4 linked regions of the Mus musculus genome follow. The protein of the gene in region 1 interacts with the protein of each later gene in a pairwise test. Links are inferred from orthologs where the notes say so. Each region holds a gene or a part of one and is shown in the gene's direction. Other genes may lie near its edges.

Evidence for each region.
Region 2: the proteins of Ube2k (region 1) and Traip interact in binary tests that used the Homo sapiens proteins (3 or more experiments, as listed by UniProt). The link is inferred for Mus musculus from reciprocal best matches to the Homo sapiens genes UBE2K and TRAIP.
Region 3: the proteins of Ube2k (region 1) and Rnf138 interact in binary tests that used the Homo sapiens proteins (3 or more experiments, as listed by UniProt). The link is inferred for Mus musculus from reciprocal best matches to the Homo sapiens genes UBE2K and RNF138.
Region 4: the proteins of Ube2k (region 1) and Rnf167 interact in binary tests that used the Homo sapiens proteins (3 or more experiments, as listed by UniProt). The link is inferred for Mus musculus from reciprocal best matches to the Homo sapiens genes UBE2K and RNF167.

The regions. Positions count from the first base shown.
Region 1 is NC_000071.6:65,536,047-65,540,049, forward strand, and holds the start of Ube2k (ubiquitin-conjugating enzyme E2 K), read left to right. Parts: upstream 1-1,198; 5' UTR 1,199-1,437; coding exon 1,438-1,500; intron 1,501-4,003. UniProt on the Homo sapiens protein: Accepts ubiquitin from the E1 complex and catalyzes its covalent attachment to other proteins. In vitro, in the presence or in the absence of BRCA1-BARD1 E3 ubiquitin-protein ligase complex, catalyzes the synthesis of 'Lys-48'-linked polyubiquitin chains.
Region 2 is NC_000075.6:107,960,919-107,964,478, forward strand, and holds part of Traip (E3 ubiquitin-protein ligase TRAIP), read left to right. Parts: intron 1-59; coding exon 60-154; intron 155-623; coding exon 624-737; intron 738-1,335; coding exon 1,336-1,423; intron 1,424-1,912; coding exon 1,913-2,002; intron 2,003-2,388; exon of another isoform or gene 2,389-2,410; coding exon 2,411-2,499; intron 2,500-3,560. UniProt on the Homo sapiens protein: E3 ubiquitin ligase required to protect genome stability in response to replication stress.
Region 3 is NC_000084.6:21,000,602-21,004,783, forward strand, and holds the start of Rnf138 (E3 ubiquitin-protein ligase RNF138), read left to right. Parts: upstream 1-1,355; 5' UTR 1,356-1,458; coding exon 1,459-1,568; intron 1,569-4,182. UniProt on the Homo sapiens protein: E3 ubiquitin-protein ligase involved in DNA damage response by promoting DNA resection and homologous recombination.
Region 4 is NC_000077.6:70,645,732-70,650,061, forward strand, and holds the start of Rnf167 (E3 ubiquitin-protein ligase RNF167 isoform 1 precursor), read left to right. Parts: upstream 1-1,503; 5' UTR 1,504-2,137; coding exon 2,138-2,221; intron 2,222-2,283; exon of another isoform or gene 2,284-2,297; coding exon 2,298-2,378; intron 2,379-2,676; exon of another isoform or gene 2,677-2,861; intron 2,862-3,489; coding exon 3,490-3,615; intron 3,616-3,713; coding exon 3,714-3,801; intron 3,802-3,943; coding exon 3,944-4,034; intron 4,035-4,180; coding exon 4,181-4,286; intron 4,287-4,330. Other genes in the region: Slc25a11 (mitochondrial 2-oxoglutarate/malate carrier protein), read right to left, coding at 53-259, 345-497, 1,037-1,131.

The DNA.
Region 1 (4,003 bases):
CATAATTTCAAAATGTTATTTTCTTTCTTTTTTTTTTATTTTTACTTTTTTGGTTTTTCCAGACAGGGTTTTTCTGCATAGCCCTGGCTGTCCTGGAACTCACTCTGAGACCAGGCTGGCCTCGAACTCAGAAATCCGCCTGCCTCTGCCTCCTGAGTGCTGGGATTAAAGGCGTGCGCCACCATGCCCGGCGCTCAAAATGTTATTTTCAAAGTACCTCTCAGCACCCACACCATATTGTTTTAAACTCTACTAACCACTTTCAAATAGCCTCTCCACGTTATTGCTCAATTAAATAATTTTACTCGTTTCTCTTTTCTCCACTCAACTATATTCACTCAATACAAGCGCCAAACACCTTTGTAAGTTTAAAGCTCTTTCGGCCTTCTATTTCTTCAACTGTCACTATAATAAATACAGTTCTTCACATGCTTAATCCAGTCATTCCCACAGCGTGGCCGCTGAAAAACGGGCAGCAGGGAGCTTGCTAGGAATGCCAATTCTTAGGTCCATCCACACTCTAGAGATAGGTGCTAACAATCTTAACCAGCTCTCCAGGGATTCCGAGGCACTTTCAAGTTTGAAAAACACCTTAGTTCTGCAGTTCAGCATTGATTATCTAAACAGGGCAAAGATGTAACTTCTGGCTTTTAAACCCATCACAGGCCTCTTTCTGGCAACACCTGTATCAATTACAAGCCGTGGGACACAACCATTACACAACCTTAAACATCTGTAATACCTGAGATGACCGAATAATAGTTGCCTTATCATGGTTCCAGAACAAAAGCTACGGCAGTGGATTTCCCGGGGGTTTACCAACGGACGCTGGGCAGGACCCAGTTCCTGCATAGCTTTTTCCTCCGCTAGACACAGGGAGGCACTTCGAGCCCGTGGGTTCTGGGTCTGGCCGAGTTAGAGCGGGGCTCGGCCCGGCTAGGGCCGGGGACACCCGCCAGGCCGGGCTCCCACCTCGGGTCCCAGCCTAGGGACTGGAGGTCTCTCTGTAAAGGAGGCCGAGGGGCAGGGGAGGACCCGGCAGGCCCAGACCCCGCGGACAGGCCGCGAAGCCGCACCCTCCTGGCCCCAGCCGCCGGCAGGGCGGAGCCACGCGGCCGAAGCCCCGGCTGAGACGCGCGGCGCGGCGCGGCGCGGGCTCGCTGCTGGAGACGTATGGGGCTCCCACTGGAGCGGCTGCGCCGCCCGGTCGGGTCAGCGTGGTGCGCATGCGCGGACCCGGCGCCATTTTGGTGGCCGGGCGCGGAGGTGATTCTACAGTGAGGAGGAACGCGACGGCGAGGGTGGCAGTGGCAGCGTTCGTGTGCTCGGGTCTGAATCGCTGAGGGAGGAGGCGGCGGCGGAGGAAGAGGTGGCAGCGGTGGCGGTGGTCGTAGCGGTGGCGGAGGAGGCGGGTACGAATCAGCTGCGGGCAGAGACATGGCCAACATCGCGGTGCAGCGAATCAAGCGGGAGTTCAAGGAGGTGCTGAAGAGCGAGGAGGTCAGGAACGAGCTACCGGACGCCCCCATCTCAGCCCCGGGCGGCAGGGCCCCTTCCTTCCGCGACCCCCGGCGGGCCCTGGCCGGCTTCGCTGCGGCCGCCTCTCTGCCTCTGGGGAAGCGGCGGCCTCCCCTCCTCCTCCCGCCGCCTTTCCCTCCCCTCCCCGGGCCCTGGGAGAGGCGGTCTCGCGGGCGGCTGGCCGGCCGGCCGGCCTGGGGAGGAACGGGGTTTGGAGGGCCGATGCCGAAGCACTCGTCGGGGGCACGTGAGCTCTAGAGGGAGCCCCGAGGCGGTGGCGGCAACATCTGGAAGTGTGACTAGGCGGTGGGGAAGAAGGAGCAGGCCGAGAAAACCCGGGAAGTGGGTTGGGGGAAGGGGAAAGGTAGTAACTGGATCCCCCGGCCGCAGCGCACCCCCCAGGCCCACGCTTTTCGGGGTGTTCTGGAGATCGCCGGCCGGGGCCTTTGCTGTCTTCTCCTTGGGGAAGGAACCTCCACAGTCTTTAGGTATAGACGAGGGGAAGACTTTGAGTTACTCCCTTCCAGTGTAGTGTTGGGGGAAAGGGAGACATAATGGGAAGGGAACTGAAACAATTTCCACTACAGATAGAGAAATAATTCCGAATGAGGTGGTAATCTCTTTTCTACGGACCCAGCCCGTAACTAGGCCTCATCATTGACATTTAAAGCTTTTAGTCTGGTCAAAGGCAAGTTGTTTGTTAATTAAATGATTTGAAGTAGGGAGAATAATGGAGTGTCTGAGTAGCCTATTTCAGAATACTGTTTACCAGTGTCAGGCTCTCCTAGGGCAATGCCTCTGTGACTAGTGTTGTACTGTGAAACTTCATTATGATGTCCCTCATAGTTAACTTGAGTCTCACTTTTAAAAACAGGCCTATTAAAAAACAAGGGATTTCATCAGATAACACGTTATTGTAGTTCACTATTGAGTTAGGTTTATTTTTTTGACACAATATTATAGCAGGAAATAGCATATTAAGAAAAATAAAACTCCTAGTACATTGTAAGTCTTGCAAATTTTAAGTACATTAATGCTTGCCAAATTTATTTATGTGAAATATTGAGAGTGATTGAATAATTTTACTCATCTGTAAAAGTAATAGTACAACTTTTTCCACCTAAATCGACAAAAATGCTAGCTTTTCTATGATTGAACTTAACAACAAAATTCTGTAAGTAATTATTTTTTTCAGGTTTACATGTTTTTCTTCTAGGCTTGCTTGATGCTTTGATAATGTCAATTATGATCTTTAAAATTAAGCCTTTTAAGCACATGAGGAACTGTTACAAATCTTGTAGCTCTCCACCTATATTTGTGCCTTCCAGCTTGCAGATCATTAGCCATCGTCCCAGTAGACTTGTAGAAAGTCACTTAAAATTGAAATGACAATATTAGCAGATTTAGTGAGCATACTAAGAAGTAAGTAGTGATCTGCCTTACGTAGCATGAACTCTGACCTCTGTATTCATTTGCCAAAACTCTGAATGGAAGGATGACTTTGTATTTTTTGTGGAACAATGCAGAAACAGTGTGAATGGCTGTATTCACAAATTTTTAACGGTGATTTAAACTTTTTAAATAAGCAAACTTAGTTTGGGATTGTTTATATATATATATTCTTTTTTTTCCCGTTTTTTTGAGGCAGGGTTTCTTAATGGAAGATAATACCTAATCTTGTTGGCCTCAAACATCTATAATAAGGTGGTAGGAGTCTTTAGACTTCTCATGCTTTCTTTTATCTAAAAGTGTCAAGTTACTGCCCTGAAAATCGATATATTCTCTTTGCTTCCTGTGGTGTGACTTTTCCCAATGGTGTTTGGTGTTTAAGTTGAAGGTTTTCAGCATTTGTATGGCTCTGGCAGTGCATATTTAACTGATGGGTTAAGGAAGTGGCTCCATGGGTAAAGGTGGCTTGCCTGATGACCTGAGTTCAGACTCGAGGACCCACATGGGAGGTTTTTCCTTTGACCTCTACACCCATAAATGCAAATAAAATAAAAGCTCATCCTCATGTACAAGATTTAAAAAAATTGTCAATGGATCTCAGGAAGAAAATAGGAAATATGAACACAAGTTATTCAAGAATGGTCCCTTTAAAAACCTAGCAGGGAACTCATTTCAAGGAACTAAGTTGCAAAGAATGTTTTGGAAAAGATCAGATGAAATTTAATATTGTAAAACACACACACACACACACAAAACCAACGTATAGCTTTATCCTCACAGATAGTTTATTTCGTTGACATTTTAGTAAGTCAAGTCCAGTTCCGTAGATAGGTTGTATTGATTTTCACCTCAATGAAGGACCCATAGTGCAGTCTATATATTTCCTTTTTAGTGTGTAAATGTGAGCTTTTGAATAGTTGGCCAAGTAATTATTTCACCATGTCACTTCATGCAAATCTCCAGTATATGAGGTTTAATTCATTTGGTAGTGTTTTAATAATTTTGGTGGATCTGATGACTTTTTTTTTTTTTTTTT
Region 2 (3,560 bases), on another chromosome or scaffold:
CAGCTCTCAGTGGCCATGGTTCTGAGACACTGAGAAGGTGTCTTGTGCTTATTCTTCAGAAACAGATGAAGTTCCTGGAGCAGCGGCAGGATGAGACCAAACAAGCTCGGGAGGAGGCCCACCGACTCAAGTGCAAGATGAAAACCATGGAGCAGTGAGTCCCCAGCTGGCTTCTATACTGTCCTTTCATACCTAGGGCACCAGGGGGCGGATTCTCAGGGCTGCAGCTGAAAATGGGTCTTGTTCATCTTTGATTCAGATTCCCAGGTGCCTTTGGCCACAGATTTCCTTTTTTAACCTCTGTGGGCCCCTTCCCTTTTTGTGAGTCCTCTCATTACACTTCTTGTTCTGTTGCCTATGGATAGGTGGCTTGCCATGCCTTTCCCTCCAGGAGCCTCTCTGTGTGAAGTCCCTGACCTTGAAGTCCTCTGTCAGCACCTCTTTTTCCTCAGAAGCATCCCTGGAGCTGAGCTCATCTCTGCTGTAGAACCTTTCCTTGGGCACACCCACCTGCTAAAGCATCCTAGCAGCCCAGGCTGTTGCCATAGCAACAGCAGCAAAGGGAGGCAGACTAACCATCAGCCTCCAGATTTCAAATGCCGTGGGCCGGGAATGTTTTTCAGAATTGAGCTCCTACTCCAGAGCCAGCGGTCTGAGGTGGAGGAGATGATTCGAGACATGGGTGTGGGACAGTCAGCGGTGGAGCAGCTGGCTGTGTACTGCGTGTCCCTCAAGAAGTGCGTAAGCTCGGGCGTGCCTCTGCCATCATCTTTTGTAATGCAGATACTGTGAAGGAGCAGGTTGTAGAACCATATTGTCGTAAGGTGAACTCTAGCTCTTAGGCTACTTCCGAGGCCCCTCTGACCTCCACTTTTCTGCATGGAGAGAGGGGTTTGCCCTTGCTGAGAGAAGAGTATGGATGCAAGTTTTGTCTCTGAGGAGCTCATGCAGCTCTCAGCAGTGAGCTCCCTCAGGAGATCTGGAGTCTTCTGCATTAGCCCTGTTTCTGACCCTGCCTGACTTCCATAGCAAACTCCCCATATCCTTCATTATGGTGGTGACAGGAAGCTGGAGAAAGGAGCTGCTTGCCTCCATTTGGGGTTGTAGGGAGCCCCCTAGTGAGGCTTGCATGCTCAAGGCGCAGTTCCTGAGTGTGACCAGGATTTGTTCCTCCACCTCATTACACATGCAGGGCCTGCCAGGGGCCCTGGCAGGCGGGTGAGGAGGAGCTCATTTGTGAGGCCTCTGTTAAGCTGGCGCTATGGCTTAGTCACAGCACCGACCATGCCAGTCAGGGTGTTCTGTTCTGTGTCTCTTCTCATGGCTGCTTTGCAGAGAGTATGAGAATCTGAAGGAAGCTCGGAAGGCCACAGGGGAACTGGCTGACAGGTTGAAGAAGGATTTGGTGTCCTCTAGGAGCAAGGTGACTGACTGGTGGTGACAAAGGGAAAGGGAGGTGGGTCTCCTGAGCTAGGCCATCCATGCCCACACCACTGGGCCAGAGAAGGTGGCCTACAGACACTGGGTATGCCTTTTACTGTGCACTGTCTCAGACTCTGGCTTGTCACTTGGGTCCCCAGCACACACTCATGCCACCTTTTGCTCTTCTTGATTCCTAGATGCATCTTAGCTGGCTTGGAGAGCACAAACCTCCAGTATGGTAGCGCCAGCAGCCCACTTTATACCCCATCCCAAACCGAGGGTTCTTGGGCCTGCTGCTTTCCTTCTGTAGGCCGCACTGTGTACAGAGACACGCTTGCCCCCAGGCAGCCCATATTCATGCTTAGTTGATGTCTGGGGTCTCCCCTGTACCTCCGGTTTTTTTTTTTTTTTTTAGACTACCCAAACATACACTGGATAGCAGCAGGTAGGGGCAGGTCATGTGGCACCACTGGCTTCTCCTTTCTTACAGTTGAAGACTCTCAACACTGAGCTGGATCAGGCCAAGTTAGAACTGAGGTCAGCCCAGAAGGACTTACAAAGTGCTGACCAGGAGATCACGGTGAGACACCCTGGCCTGTGGGAAGTGAGGGGACCTGAGGGGTTATGTGCCTCTAAGGGTAGGGCTGGACTGTTTCTGCCTGGAAACCTGTGTTACAGTCATTGGTGTTTCCGGGCCCTCTGTATCCTCCTGGGTTGGAGGTGGGTCAGCATATGCACCCTAGTCTGGCCTTGAGCCTGTCCCTCCTCAGCAGAGGGCTAAGGGCACCGTGAATCTTCCTCTGTCGTCTGCTCAGTTCTTACCTCCAAGGCGGTCCCTAATCTCCAGAGCGAGTATGCCACCAAGCGGAGTTCTCAGGCCTGGCTGGTGTTGGTGGTCAGCCCTCACTCTGTTCCCTGTGCCCTTTACACAGGCGTTTCTCCTTAGTGCCACAACCTTTCTCTCAGGTTCTCGCTCTCCTTTCTCCAGAGCCTAAGAAAGAAGCTGATGATCCTCCAGGGAACCTTGAGCCTGCCTCCGGCGACCAATGAGACGGTCAGCCGCCTGGTTTTTGAGAGGTTTGTTACCCTTCTGGGGTGATTCTGGATCACAAGCTAAGAGAGCCTGCGCTCCTGGCTTTGGTGGGATAGATGTGTTTATGGACCTTCTGACCAGAGAGCCAGCCAGGCTCTAACTGAAAAGCGGCTTTGAGAGAATTTGGGGTCTGACCAGGAAAGGCAGAGAAAGCCTTTGAGTAGCCTGAGGACAGGGCAGGGGCAGTGGTTGTCTTGGAGTATCCTGGAGTTTCTCACCACATGCGTCTGTCTGCCCCATCTCTGAAACATACTTGAGAGTGCTCACTCTAAAATAAGCCCCCTCAGCCTGGTGGTGTTGGTGCACGTCTTTAATCCTAGCATTCGGGAGGCAGAGGCAGACAGATGTATCTATGAATTCAAGACCAGCCTGGTCTACAGAGAGTTCCAGGCCAGCCAGTCCAAAATAAATAAATAATCCTCGCGGGTCCAGGAGTGTGCTTTCAGGCTGCCAGCAGAGGGAGCCAAACGACCCAGGGATTGGTGTCCCTGCTAGGAGCAAGCTTCAGTCTTCCTGAGTGTTTTTCACAGAAATGGGCTGGCTAAGAATATCCTCAAGGCTGTCTTCTGCCTGCTACAGGACCCCAGCAAGGGAGCCAAATTAAAACTGTCAACAGCCCAGAGTTTTACTTAAGTCACTTTTTAACATATTATGGCAAATCAGTATGCCCTTTCTTTCTGCCAGTGCAGTTTACCCATTCAGTGCCTTCCAACACTCCACTTTCCTCCTGGGTACTGTGGCCCCTGACTCCCCATCTCTCAGTTCCTCAATACTGTGTCTCAGGACAGTCATGGAGCGGGCTTAGGTTTAAATGGTTTCCTAGGATCCTGCCGTGTCACAGCCAACCATAAGAAAACACTTCTTCCTGCTTCCACAATTGCTTCTTTTCTTTCCTATCTGAAGGCTCTGTTTGTGCTGGCCAGCTTCCTCAGCCAGATAGCACATTGTGTGTGTGCTTGTGTGTGTGTGTGCCTCATGTGTGTATTCATGAATGAGTATATTTGTGTAAGAGTGTGTGTATGTATTATATATACATATGTATGTG
Region 3 (4,182 bases), on another chromosome or scaffold:
GGAACTTTCCCCCAAAGTTAACGGAAGATACCCTAATATACTCTGGATTTTCCCTACCCGCTTTCCCACAAACTTTCATTCCTATTTCATATGGCTTTACTAGGAATTAAATGGGCCTTTATCAGGCCTATTCAAGAATGCACACTTATTGTTTCCGCAGTGAGTGCAAAAATATCAAATTCGTGGCTTAGAGGGAATGCACAAGGTACATGCTTCTACCTCATTCTTCAGTTCTAGCATTCTTTCTTTAAACAAAAAAGTATTATAGTAGAAGACTGCATCTGTCACTTTGTTTAAAATGAAAATTCAAACTCCACAGCAGCAGCGTAGGCTGACCTTTGAATATGAGATCCTCCTGCCTTGGTCTCCTTGAGTACATACATTACAGAGTCTAATGAGATCGTGGGGCAGGCCAGCCTGGTCTAATTCCAGAGCTGGTTTCAGGACAGCCAAGACTAAAGAAAAACTGTCTCAACCCCCCCCTCCCCCAACTCCAACACCAAAAAAACAAGCCAAAACACACACACACAAAAGGTGAAAAAAGAAGAAAAGAAAAAAATTGTATGGAAGAAAAATCTCTGCGGAAAGGGGGACAAGAAACGCAATCCATATGGCGGGACAGCTCTGGAGACCACCGCCCATTGCTTTCGTCACAATCCGCCGCCGCACCTGCCCGGGTTGCCAAAGGGGCCGTGCTGGCCATCACCGCCCCCGCCCTGCCGTGGGCAGTGGCCCGAGGGCGGGCTGCGAGCCGCGCAATGTCGCAGACTGCGGCTCCGGGGGTGGGGGCTTCACGGTGCTGCACGAGCCTCACTCGGGCTTAGTCCCATGAGGCCTGCGCACCCCGGCACTGAAACCACGAGACGGCGCAGGACCACCGCTCTTCCGGCCCGTGACGGAGACCGAGCGTGAGGCGCGCCGGGGCTCAGGGCATCTGAGGTGACGCCGGCGGGCCGAGTGGAGGAGACAGGGGGGCGGGCCGGGGAGGGCGTGGGAAGCCCGAGAGCGCCAGTGAGAGCCGCGGAGGAGGACAGGCTCGCCGGCGGGCGCCGGAGCGGACAGCGGTGGAGCCGGGCCGCCGGGGGCGGGGCCAGCGGCTCCATGGCGGCTCTGGGGGGCGGGGCTTCGGCGCGCGCCGTTGATAGAAGCTGCGGCGTAACCAATGACTGCGTCTTCTACCTCACCTCCCGCTAAGCTCCGCCTTCACGCTGGTGTCCCCCGCGGAGAATGGGCGGGACCTGCTCGTGCTGCTGCCTTGTCTCAGGGTTCCGCCCCGCCCCCGAGTCCCGCCCCCGTCCTGACGCAGGCCGCTTCCTGAGCGAGCCGCTTCCTGACTCGATTCCCTCCCCCCTCAGGGCCCTCTCCGGGCGTCGGGCTCAGGGCCGCCACCACCACCACTACTACCACCACCACCTCGGCTCCTGCCGGCGCCGTCGCCTCTCCCGCCCACCCCTCGCCATGTCCGAGGAACTTTCGGCGGCCACGTCCTACACGGAAGATGATTTCTACTGCCCTGTCTGTCAGGAGGTGCTCAAGACGCCGGTGCGGACCGCGGCCTGTCAGCACGTGTGAGTGGACGCCCCTTCCCTCGTGCGGCGCCCCGGCCCGGCCCGGCCCCTCCGAACCCGTGCCCCGCACCCCCTGGTCTCGTCCTGGTCGCCAGCTTCCTGCACCCGGGGGCGGTGCTCGGGCCCTGCGTCCCTCGGCGTCCTCGCCAGGCCCGAGAGGAATCACAGAGAACGTGGAGCCTTTTTTGTTTCCTAGCAATCCTTGTGGAGACCCGGGCGTTGGGTGCTCGGCCTGGGCCCTGCAGAGGTGTGCGGGCCCGCCGGGCTACCTGCCGGGGGTGCCGCGCTTTTCTTGGCTTTCCTTGGCTTTGTAGCCCCTAGCCCTGTCGGTGTCAGCAGCAGCGTCCCCGCCCCCCTTGCACGCCCGCTCAGCCCCATCCTTGAGCTAATTTAACAATTCAGTGATAAAACGGCCCAAGATGAGCTAGCTTCCTTCTCCCACCCCGAACCGGCAGGATTTCCGGGGCTCGAGATAGCTCCCTTTGTGCTCTCCTTATGTTTATTATTGCTGGGTGATGACAAGAATGGAGGCAAGATACCGTTCTGTTAGAGGAGGTGTTTCCTCCAGGGATGAGGTGGATGGAGCACAAAGGCGCTGGCTGGGCTGGGCAAGGTGACTTGAGGTAGGTCTTAGTTGGCATAGAAAGAATTTCAGTCATTTTCAGGACAACCAGTGTCAGTGGGAGTTGGAGCCAGCCCTTGAGAACGTACACTAAGCATCTGACAAGCCCGAGTGATGAGCAGAGCCCTCGAGGAACTTTTTCTTTAATGTGTGTGACAAGGTCTCATGTAGCTCTGACTGGCTTCAACTCACAGTAATCCACCTGCCTCTGGGATTGAACGAATAGGGGATAGGCTCCCCAGAGGGACTCTTTATAGCAAAGATAACCAGTTCCTAGGCTCCATCCCGAAGTTAGAAATGAATTTTTGGCAGGTGGGGCCTGAAAAAGTTCTGTGTTTTCAAATAGCTGAAAAGAATTCAAATTTCTAGATAAGGTCTTCCTTCCACTATTTTAGTTTTGTTATAGTTGTTTTTGTTTTTTCAAGACAGTGTTTCTTTGTGTGGCCTTCGGTATCCTAGAACTAGGGCCTGGACCAGGCTGGCCTGGAAGTAAAGGCCTGTTCTGCTGCCTCGAGAGCCACAGGCCATAGACACACTTTTTTTTTTTTTAAAGTCATGATATTCTTAATTTTTCAAGGCAGGTAGGAGCCAGGTGAGGTGGTACTTGGGAGCCTCAGACAGATTTTGCTTTTGAGGCTAGCCTGGTTACCTAGTAACTTCAGTCCACTGGAACTACCGGACTATACACCAAGCAAGATCTTGTTTCAAAACACAATCAACCAACAGTACCAATATTCTGACAATCTCCCTTCCAGAAACATTTAAAAAATAAAAAGAAGTGATAGATAGAATTTTGGGCCTTAATCAAAAAGTGTAATTTTTTTTGACGTTGATAATCTTAATTTAAAAAAAAAAACTTGTACAATATATTCTGATGATGGTTCCCCTCCCACCTGCCCCCCCTTTAAACATATCATTTTCATTGATTCTCTAGGAATTTCACATCATGCACCCCAAATCACACTCACTGCCCAGACCTTCCATATCCGCCCCCAACTTTTGTGGACCTACCCCACCCCCATGAAAAGTAAAAAAATACAGAAAAGAAAGTCCAATTTATGTTATTCATATACTCACTGGAACATGGTCTAACTCTTAAATGCCCACCTCTTAAATAGAATTGAGTGAGTCTTTCTCCTCCCACACTGCCACCAGACGCCTTCAGTTGTAGAGAGCTAGTTTTCAGTGTCCATATCACACTTTTTTTTTTTTTTTTTTTTTTTTGGTTTTTCGAGACAGGGTTTCTCTGTGTAGCCCTGGCTGTCCTGGAACTCACTCTGTAGACCATGCTGGCCTTGAACTCAGAAATCCACCTGCCTCTGCCTTCCAAGTGCTGGGATTAAAGACAAGAGCCACCACTGCCCAGCATATCACACTTTTAAACAGTTTTCTTTGACTACCTTTCTGTCTAGATTGCCACCTGCCACTTCTTTATCTCAGTATTTAGCAAACAATCAAAAAAACTTCGAGGGGCTGGAGAGATGGCTCAATGGTTAAGAGCACTGACTGTTCTTCTGAAGGTCCTGAGTTCTGTAATGTAACCATCTGTAATGAGATCTGATGCCCTTTTCTGGTGCATCTGAAGATAGCTACAGTGTACTTAGATATAATAATAAATAAATCTTAAAAAAGAAAAAAAAAAAAAACTTTGAGCAAACCAGAATAAAAAATAAACACAAGAAACAAACAAAACCACAAAAAAAAAAAAACCAAAACAGAAAATGTAATAAGTAAGGAAATGAATATAAAACAAGTTGCTTTGTAGTTCTTGTTGAACAGTGAATTTGAAAAAAAGAATGAGGAAAAGTTTTATATAGATGGGAAGGTAGGTAATGTTGGAGTGTAGTCTAGATTGACTAGATGAATGGGGTGTAGAAATTGATTTGTTTTTATAACTAGAATTTAGAGTACTTTATTAGTTTATTACATCGTTTTTTTTTTCTCACAGAATTGTAAACAAGTTTATATTTTTCTGTAAAATCAGGTTATGAG
Region 4 (4,330 bases), on another chromosome or scaffold:
CATCCTAGAGTCCAGGAATGGGGCTGGAGTTAAGCTCAGAAACGGAACTCACCGACCATCAGCAGTCATCCTGATGAGAGCCACCTCAGCTGGCGTTCCCACAAATGCACCAGTTGCACCTGCAGTCATGCCAATCAGGGCTTTCAGAAGAAAGCCAGGGGGTGTACCATCAGCCCCAGTCAGGCGCTCAAACAACACAGTATATATTCCAAGGCGAGTAGTGGTGTAGGTGGCCTGGCGCAGTAGACCAGCTGACAGCCTGAAGAGTAGAAATGTCAGCACATCAGGCCAAGGTCTGGACCTGCCAACCAACAACTTCCCTCCCCAACTTGAGGCCACAGTACCCAGTGTAAATGCCCTTCAGGCCTTCTGTCTTCAGGATGCTGGTGAGGGCATGGAAACTGGTTTTGTACTCTCGAGTCTTGGCCCCTTCACCACTCAACTGCATCCGGTTCTTCACCAGGTCCAGGGGCTGCACAAAGACTGTAGCACCCATCCTGAAGTGAGGCAGGAAAGGGAATCAGAGGTCAGTGGTTCCAGCTCTACTGCAACCTGGCAAGAAGTTACAAAGGTCAGGGCCACTAAGGATTCAGGAGGCTGGTGGGCATGTGTGTTAAGTGTGTGCATCAAGGGCAACGTGCCAGCAAAAGAGTCCAGTTGCCCAGTAAGGGGCATGCAAATCAAAAAGCCTCAGGCAGTTCTTTAGGGTTCAAGCAGAATTAGGACTACAGGCGATCTAAAGAAAGGTGGAGAGGGCGTCCCCATCCTAAGACTCCAAGCAGTCCTATAACAAAGCCTTTAATGACCTATACCCACCACCCAAACAGGCACAACGAAGCAAAGGTGGTGGAAACACAGGGTAAAGATCCTTGAATGCAGCACAGTTGGGTCCCTGCAAAGGATGAATAGATCCTGGCAACCCATCAGGGACCCTGCACCGGCTCAATTTACTGCAACACACCCCAAGTTACACTGGGCCCAGGTGCTTGCTCCCGTCCCTTCCTCCTTTTCCCCCATCACTGGGGCCTGAGCTTACCCAGCCAGGCCCCCAAACAGGAACTTGACAGACTTAGGGGAGGTACGGGGTTTCCCGTCCATCCGGCCAGCCCCAGGACTCGCCGTCGCCGCCATCGCCCCTTGATGGCCCTCGGCTTTGGGTCCCGTGCACGTACAGCCCCGCTCGCGCCCAAGGTGACACCAGCGCGCAACAGGGTGAGGGCGCGCGCGCGCACGCCCCTCCGACAGGCAAATCTGGCTCCAGCTGGAAGCTGGGGCGGGCGCAGGCTCGGAGCGCAAAGGCAGCCGGGGAATAAGGCGGGGCTAAGATGCACGATGAAGGGGCGTGGCCGATTTAGGAAGCTACCCTAAATTCCCGCCCCTCCGGAATTGGAATCGCGGGGAAAAAAAAAAAAAAAAAGCTTGTTTGAAAACCTCGCGAGAGCAAGTGAATCAGCCGAGTTCGGGCTATGAGGCCTCTCGCGATATATTTCAGCGGCGAAAGGGGGTGGGGGGGTGGAGGGAGGGTGGTGGCAAGCACTCTCGCGATACTTTGAACGTACCGTGGCGGCCAGACGAAGGAGAGGTTTGTAAACAGGGCAGCTCCAGGATCTCAGGGACTGAGGGAAAAAAACTAGATCGTCTCCTGAGCATCGAAGCTCCCTCCATCTCCGCAGGCTCCTTCTACATGTCAAACATTTCTTTCAACCGGCCTCTCGGGACCGGAAGTCCTCCGTCCTGAGCGTCCAATACTGGAATTGGCCTTTCTTACCGGAAACCCTTTTCCAGGGGCATAGGAAGACAGTCTACCTGGCCGGAAGTCCCACCTCTTTGAGGTTTCTCCTACCCTTCCGGAAGTTTTTTTGTTGTTGTTGTTACCTGTTTGCCTTCGCTCCTATTCTGTCCTATTTCTGTACTAGAGAAAGATACATTGTCTCCCCTACCAGCTCCGCTAAGCTGGTTTGATAGCTCACTCCCTGAATCGGAGTTCCTTCCCCGACGCCCCCATGTAGCTGAGAAGTGGGACCTAGGGGTGGTTGGACCCCTGGGATCCTGAAGGAGAGGCAGAGGAGGGCGCAGGACTCGGCTTCTGCTCCTGCGATCAGAACGCGACCTTCGCAGCTTTACCCCTCCCGCTGCCATGCACCCTGCGGCCTTCCCGCTTCCTGTTGTCGTGGCTACTGTACTGTGGGGAGCAGCCCCTGTCCGAGGGCTGATTCGAGCGGTGAGTCTGAGGGTCGGACGGGGACAGGGTGCTGAGAATGGGGTTCAGACTGAAACACGTAGTGTTCCGTCTGCAGACTTCGGAGCACAATGCCAGCATGGACTTTGCAGACCTTCCAGCTCTGTTTGGGGCCACTCTGAGCGACGAGGGACTGCAGGTGATGTTTTCCCCATTTCCCTATATGGATCCTGGGTAGGGGCGAAGTGGCCGTGCTCAGGAGGTAGGAAGTAGTGGAGTTAGCAGCGGAATGCAGTGGACTGCGGATAGTTCAATGATAGGGTGCTTTTTCTAGTATGAGTGAGATTCTAGGTTGAATCTCCAGCAAAAAAAAAAAAGTGTCCCCAATCCAGAAAAACCTAAGTGCATGATCATGTCCAGCGCGCAGAGTCCAGAATCCAGAGATAATAGATAGTGCCCACCTCTAGAACTTAACATTTTTTATTTTATATGCATAGGTGTGAGAGTGTCAGATCCCCTGGAACTGGAGTTACAGTCAGTTGTGAGCTGCTACATGGATGCTAGGAACTGAACTCCGGTTCTCTGGAAGAACAGCCAGTGCGCTTAAGCACTGAACCATCTACAACCCCTAGAACTCCCAAGTTTAAGAGGGAGTCTGAGAGTGGGCTAAGATAAAAAGCAGGTGCTTATCAGCAGTCTCTGGAGCAACTTACTGTTTGTATAGATGGCCATGGACAGCTTTTTATGGGTTCTGAGTCAAATGAGAAATAGAAATTAACCTAGGGCTATCGTGCCAGTGTGATAAGCATGTCTGTAGTAGTTCACTACAAAGTTCATGCCACATAGCAAGAATTCATTCGGCCACAGTTAGCAGTAGAGTTGTAAGATGGCTAATTGGAAAATGAAACTTGTTGAAAATGCCATGAATGAGTAGCAAGGTGAACCACTATCGGTGGGAAACTTAAAAGCAGAACTAAACTACGCTTGAGAAGTTAAGGGAGCCTCTGGTAAGGGATGTAGTTTACTGTAACTGCATCTTCAAGAAAGCTGAGAGATCCCTTTTCTTTTTTCTTTTTTTTGAGACTGGACTCTGGAACTCTGGCTGTCCCCAACTCACAGTAGTCTCAAGTGCTGGGATTAAATGCATGTATCACCATGTCTGAGTTGTAGATTCAGTGTTGGGTGGGATGCTCAGACCTCCAGAATGAGCAATGATAGAGCTGCAGAATGCAGGTAGTATATAGTGTTATGTGTGGTAGGTCCTGTGGAAGACAGAACTAAAGATGAAAATGTTTGCCTTTATCCCTCAGGGGTTCCTTGTGGAGGCCCACCCAGAAAATGCCTGCGGTCCTATTGCCCCACCACCCTCAGCCCCGGTCAATGGGTCAGTCTTTATTGCACTGCTTCGAAGATTCGACTGCAACTTTGACCTCAAGGTTGCTGAATGGGGAATGGGAGGTGGTAAGCAGGGTACATGACACCAGGAATGAAGGGCAAGGGTTACAGCTCTATCCCTCCCGCTTGGCCTCCTTAGGTCCTAAATGCTCAGAAGGCTGGGTATGGTGCAGCTGTGGTGCACAATGTGAATTCCAATGAACTGCTGAACATGGTGTGGAACAGCGGTAAGGAAGAAGCCTGCACTACTGGGTGCACCGTGGAGTTGAGTGGGAGGGCAATTGGTTGAGATCTGCAAAAAGTGCCAAAAGCCAGTTTCAGGGAATTGAGGAACAGAAGGCTAAATCCCTAATATCCTGCTCCTTACAGAGGAAATCCAACAGCAGATCTGGATCCCATCTGTATTTATTGGAGAGAGAAGCGCAGAGTACCTACGAGCCCTTTTTGTCTACGAGAAGGGGTAGGACGCATGCTTTCTTCCAGTTCTTCTCAATCCACTCAGGCTCAGGCTCTTCCTCGGCTGCCTTGACTTTCTCCTCATTATGCCTTGTCCCAAGCCAGTAACCCTATTTTACCTGGCTTGAGGTTGTGTCTCTCTCTCCTCAGGGCTCGGGTGCTTCTGGTTCCAGACAACAGCTTCCCCTTGGGCTATTACCTCATTCCTTTCACTGGGATTGTAGGATTACTGGTTTTGGCCATGGGAACAGTATTGGTAAGTAGCTGAGGAGAACTTACGATGCCAGACTGGATCGGTAG